2 linked regions of the Xenopus tropicalis genome follow. The protein of the gene in region 2 interacts with the protein of the main gene of each other region in a pairwise test. Links are inferred from orthologs where the notes say so. Each region holds a gene or a part of one and is shown on either strand. Other genes may lie near its edges.

Region 1 (3,760 bases), about 41 Mb from region 2:
AAAAAACAAGCAGCTTATATTGGAAATGCATTCCTATGTTCAAATTTAGAAAAAAAAAAAAAAAGAAAAGAAAAAAACCCTCCCACTGTAGACTTATCTCTAATAAACATCCACTCAAAAGGTTCAGTATGGTGTGGCAGCTTTAACAAAGATGACCTAATATAGTCCAGTTTAACAGTAAACCAACTGCCTTACAAAAATTGATTGAAATTTGATCAGCTGATGATCACAAATACCCCCTGTACCCAAATGTCCCATCAATTTCTGTTTTAATAGCTTAAAGGAGAAGGAAAGGTAAAATCACCGGGAGTGCCAAAACGTTAGGCACACCCCAGTGACTGTAAATGCTTACCTTATACCCTCGGCTGCTGTTCCTGTTAGGAGAAACCTGCACCAGCAATCTTATTCCTCTTGTCATTTTTTTCTTTATGATCCCAAAGCCAACAGAACTGTGCATGCGCAAGTGGTGAGAAGACATAAGAGAATCGCTCTCTCAGGTACCCAGGGCCAGTGCAGCTTTCTCCTAACAGAGGCACCCCTCAGTGATCTTACCTTTCTTTCTCCTTTAAGGGTAAGAACCCATGGAGTGAGTTACTAGCCCAAGATAGATCTCTGCTATCGCGGGCATGTAACTGCTCTGAAGTCGCACCAAGGAGGAGGAAAACCGAAGCAACGCGAAGGGCTTCCTATTGTTGCCAGTGGAAAGCCTTTTCAACGGTGACTAGCCCACGATAGCAAAAATCTCTCTCGAGCGAGTTACTTGCTCTGTTGATTCTTACCCTTAAGACCACATTAACAATAAGAGCATGTGTATGTTGAAGTAAAGTCTGGCCCAAATTAACACATACCATATTTTCTCACATATAGCCTTGACATATCTAGGATATGTTAGTGAAAATGGAAAGGTACCCACAACTATTCAAAAACAAAACCATACAGAAAGATAAAAAAAATAAAGATATGATCATGTATAAAACCCAATAAGAACCTTTAAGCTGATCGGTAACTTTATTTAAATACTCTTTCAGCCCTGGGTCTGTAGTGAGTAGCAGTGTAAGTCCATACTTCTGGATACGTGTGAACGTTTCTGATGGATAAATCCCACGCTGATATAAAATACTATTGATGCCACAAACTAAGGAGAAAAAAAAACAAACAAAAATTAACATATGATCAAAAACAGACTGATTAATATCCTGATTTTTGGGACCTGTAGTTTTCTGGGTAAGGGTTTTTTTCTATAATTGATTTTGCTGAAAAACATTTAAACATGAAATAAACCCAACTAGATTGTTATAGATATGAATTTATGCAGCTACGGTTATTATTACAGTGAAAATACAGGTATAGCATCCAGAATGCTTTGGACATAGGGTATTTGGGATAAGGGACCTTTCTGACATTTGGATCATCATACCATATGTTTGCAAAAGTTATTTATACATTAAATAAACCCCATAGGATCATTTGGTCTCAAATATGGATTTGTGTAGCTTAGTTTCCATAAGGTACAAGTATTTTTACCTCACAAAGTATAGCCTTACTGCAACAGAGCTAAGGTTTTCACTGACAGTTATTTTCTTAAGCTGTAAGGCACTTCTATGTTAGGAGTGACTAATTGTGGCCACCATACTGGATGTCCTCAAAATAGTGTTTTGACTTGATCCTAACTAAGTTGCATAAATCCATATTGGTGACAAAACTACCCTATCCAGTTTTATTGTTAACACTTTTCTTAGTTCACTTAAGATACAGAGATTCAATTGACTTTATTTAATCTAGTGCCAAGTAATTGCTTGGTAGCGTTACAGTGTATGCAAATAGCCACCCCTTACAAAAGGAGCATGATCTTGGCCAGCCAACACAAATGTAGCATTGTAGAAAAAAAAGTTAATTTGTGCTTGCTGTTTTTCAAAATTTTAAAGAAGCACTAACCCCCACATACTCTTTTTTTTTTTTAAATTGTATCCACCTACAGCAGCTCCCCTCCCCTCAACTGCATCACTGCCAATGTCTACAAAATCCAGGCCACCACAATATCAGTTGTCTAATTGCAGAGTTGTGCAGCAGGGCTGGTGGCTGCCATCTTTGGAAGCAGGAGTATGCACACTGGAACGATTTGGCCTATGACTAAGTGCCCAGATGGAGCACAAAACACATAGCTTTGTTGTTCTTTGAAACAGATCTATTACATATTTAATAAATAGCAATTTTAAGCAGTATAGTTCTACTCCAGTCTGGTTTTGTGCCAACCTGTCTCTCTCTAAGAAGATATTATGCAAACAGGAATGATTTGGCCTATGATGAAGTGCCCAGATGGGACACAAAAACACATAGGGCTTTGTTGTTCTCTGAATAAGATGTATTGAGTTCTTAATAAATATCGATTTTAAGCAGCATATTGTGCCAGTCTCTCTCTCTAAGAGGATATTATGCTCAGTGGAGACCAATTAATGCCTGACTTCCAAATCACATGCTCTATCTGGCCAAAGCTGCAGCTTTACTCAGCAAGCAGATAGTGGGGTGGACTTTTACACACTGTCAGCAAAATATTTTCGTGTAGTCCCTCCTTTACTGCATGAGTCCAATTGTCAGTGCGTTTTCTATCCATGTCCCCATATCAGCCATGCCAAAGGCTCAGTTATTAGCTACTGCTATTGCAACCAATAAGGGTTATCTTCCCCTCCCCAACCACTTACAGAAAAACTCCGACACGATTTCAGCGCTACCCTTCAGGGTAATCCCTTCACGTGTTAGCTGACCGGCCATCGGACCCTTCTTGTAAAACTGAATTGGTTCCAAAAGTTTTCAGGTCCTGATAGTACTAACGCGCCTTCCACTTCAAACCAACGGCGGACTCGTACTCTGATTGGACAACTGTCACATCATGTGCAGCCTGTGGTCCAATTAAAAGCCAGCCGGAAAGATGCGTTCTGCGTGACGTCGTATGTTCGCCATCATTACTGAGGGCAAATCTTAAAATTTGCGGTAATAGTGTAGCTCATATCAACCAATCAAAAGTTAGCTTTCCTAATTTGCTTGCAGCTAGAATAACTGAATCGAATCTGCGTTTGCTACGTGTTTAGTTTATTGGCGCAGTGTTTATCGATATTTGGGCAGTTGTCGGTGATATTAAATAAATGGAGCATATGTTCGCAGTTCTGTAGACGTCTTCCGCAGATATATTTAGAACATGGTATTGTGATTTGTAAGAGGTACGGCTCATATTAGTGGGCGTGGAGCGCGTTGGACTTGGATGTATATAACTTTAACATTTTTACGATATAGCATACAGGAACAACAAATTATGCAGAAATTTTATTTCAAACGTATACACACTTAGGGCACTGGAAAATACATTTATGACTTTAAAATTCACATCGTTCTCGATCCCGTTGGAGCATGCAGTTCCCTGTCACATACCCACCTATGGGCAATTTCATAGGGAGCTATTACCCTGCTCTTCTGTTTTTGGATCATGGGTTGGGTTACCAGTGCCACTGTTTGGTAAAAAAAATAATATTCCTACCCATTTGGCCTGGTATCAAGGCTGGTAAAATACTGGCCAGGTGGCGACATTATGCCTGGGGGGCAGGGACCCATGATCATGCATACTCCTGACAGGCAGTGCTGTGGGAACATTTCTTTGCTACATTTTTGTTTGCTGGTTTCTGCACGTTCCTGGTCGTCTCTGTCTTTTTACACCATCAACACCAACTGCGCACATTCGTCCTAAACCTTTCTATCTTGCTGCTCCTTA
Region 2 (2,647 bases):
TTCTGTAAACCCATGTGCCTCCATGTAAACTTTTCATGGCATTGTTGACATTATAAAGTCTCACTGTTTTGCCCCTTTGCAGGTCCGTCTGCTTGGTGTGGTGTCCAAAGGTCAGCCAACACTTGTCATCATGGAGTTAATGACGCATGGGGATCTCAAAAGTTACCTGCGCTCACTGCGACCTGATGCAGAGGTAAGCATGCTATACAGGCTATACTAAACATTATAATTGGTTGTGGTGGTGTAAGAATGAGATGCACATTAAAGAGCTTATAAGATATATGAAGAGATGTGTGCTACAGAAAGGCAAATGGCATGTGTCACTTTGCTGTTATAGTGTGTCGCCCTGGGGCTGTCTCAAATTGGCAGTACGTTTACTTTAACATTAGAGAAAAAATGGTAGACAGCTATTAAAACAGCTAGGTACTCTAAATACTGCTACTAACTAGCAGTTCTCCTCTCACCCTTACATTTTCAGAATAACCCAGGACGTCCTGCTCCTACCCTTAAAGAAATGATCCAGATGGCAGCGGAAATTTCAGATGGCATGGCATATCTCAATGCTAAAAAGTTTGTACACAGGGATCTGGCTGCTAGGAACTGCATGGTTGCTGAAGATTATACTGTGAAAATTGGAGGTAAGTAAAATGTATGCTTTATGGAGTAATCTCCCTAGAACAACCCCAAAATATATTTTTTTAGAACTGACTGGCATCAGTATCTGATTAACTAGAAAAAGAGACTTGCCAACAAGCATGGATCAAAATAAGGGAAATGAGGGGCCATGGCTCTAGAACCCCAAAGCTTTGGGCTGCCTGGTCACAAAAGACCCTTAGATCAGGATTCAGATGAGTGTTAACTAAACCCAAAACTCACCATCTTACCCTGGCCTCAGTATGTAATGAGGGATAGGCACACCCTAACCTAAAACAAACAAACTGGAACAGCAAGGCTGGTTCTAGTAGGATGCTCCTGTGTCTTTATTTAGTGCAAACCATCTAATATTTTGGGGCATTTCCCTTCATCAAACATTGCATGGTTTGCACTAAAAATGCACTAGTTCACTAGTGTTAGCCAACATTTTGATGTTGAATTGTGACCCTATTTTGAATATTAAAATTTGGTGGCATTTGTTAGTGTCAACTTCTCTTTAACATCTACTGATACTAAAGGGGTGATTTACCAATGTTCAATTTTTTTGGTGCAAAAACTCAAATTCTAGTTTTGTAAATTTTATTTGAGAGTTTGTAGACCCGTTATAAATGTTGTATTTGATCATTTAATTTGATCGAGTTTTTTCTATTCACATTTTTTAGTAAATAAACAGACATTCAAGTTTGGTAAAATTTGAAGTTAATTTGAAGTGACAAAAACTCAAAAATGTATAAATAACCTCCCCGTATATAGCAGAATCTATAAACCAAATGCTTGTATTTGAAAGCCATTTTTTAATTTAATTTTTAGCTTCAATATTCACGTTTTTGCCTTTCAGATTTTGGAATGACACGAGATATCTATGAGACAGATTATTACCGAAAAGGGGGAAAGGGGCTGCTGCCTGTTAGATGGATGTCCCCTGAATCACTGAAAGATGGAGTGTTCACAACTTTCTCAGATGTCTGGTATGTTATCAGCATAATCAGTTAAGATCAGTTAAGAATAAAGTATATACTTTTTTGACCTCTTTTCTAATTTTCTATCCCCCCCATATTGCATACTTGTATATATTCAACAGTTGATACATTCACTTTATTTTCTGGTGCACAGTACTTATTTTCTAAAATGTGCATTTTTAACTCTCTCTTGTTTTAGGTCCTTTGGAGTTGTTTTATGGGAAATAACGAGTTTGGCAGAACAGCCATATCAGGGACTTTCTAATGAGCAGGTCCTGAAGTTTGTCATGGATGGAGGTTCACTTGACCAACCGGAGAATTGCCCTCCAAGGCTGTACGTATTAATGATAGAAGGGCAACATGTTGTTTAATTTAACATCAATGTTGCAGCCCAAGCTTTAGAGGAATTGCCAGTATCTAATTAGCTTCTCCTTTTCTTGATGTTGACATGTGACTCTTCATGGGCTTACTCTTCAATACCGTTGATACAAGATTGCAAGCACCATTAAAGTGCTAACAGAAAATCCTTAGGATATTTAGAAAATACTGTAAAGTACACATATATGCAGGGGGGAAAAATGATTGGCTACTGGGTACTGTATGGGTATAGAGGGCCCAAGCTGATCCTTATGGAAGCACAATTTTAATATATCTGAGCAAAGCTAATTATCTAAGTTTAAATTACATCTTGCTTGTGGGTCCAAAAACTTGTACTTTATAGAAAGATATAAAGTCAAGTAAATTTGAATTAAGGCGCTAAAAGGAAATGTTATCCTTTGAATTTATCCACTATTAATTACCAGTTAATAGGCAGTGAAGATAAGGATATTGTTGGTGTTAATAGATGTATTCCTTCTCTGTATATTTCACTGCCTACAAAAATAATTTTGTGGAATAATTTCCCTGTTGGAAGTCATAATTAAAAGAGAAAGAAAGGTAAAATCACTGGGGGTGCCAAAATGTTAGGTACCCCCAGTGACTGTAATCACTTACCTTATACCTCAGGTTGGTGTTCCTTGTTAGGAGAAAACCAC

Evidence for each region.
Region 1: the proteins of insr (region 2) and mad2l1 interact in binary tests that used the Homo sapiens proteins (3 or more experiments, as listed by UniProt). The link is inferred for Xenopus tropicalis from reciprocal best matches to the Homo sapiens genes INSR and MAD2L1.

Annotation. Positions count from the first base shown.
Region 1 is NC_030677.2:71,054,958-71,058,717, forward strand, and holds the start of mad2l1 (mitotic spindle assembly checkpoint protein MAD2A), read right to left. Parts: upstream 2,816-3,760; 5' UTR 2,770-2,815; coding exon 2,700-2,769; intron 1,136-2,699; coding exon 989-1,135; intron 1-988. UniProt on the Homo sapiens protein: Component of the spindle-assembly checkpoint that prevents the onset of anaphase until all chromosomes are properly aligned at the metaphase plate.
Region 2 is NC_030677.2:111,775,935-111,778,581, reverse strand, and holds part of insr (insulin receptor), read left to right. Parts: intron 1-82; coding exon 83-193; intron 194-478; coding exon 479-638; intron 639-1,492; coding exon 1,493-1,622; intron 1,623-1,812; coding exon 1,813-1,947; intron 1,948-2,647. UniProt on the Homo sapiens protein: Receptor tyrosine kinase which mediates the pleiotropic actions of insulin.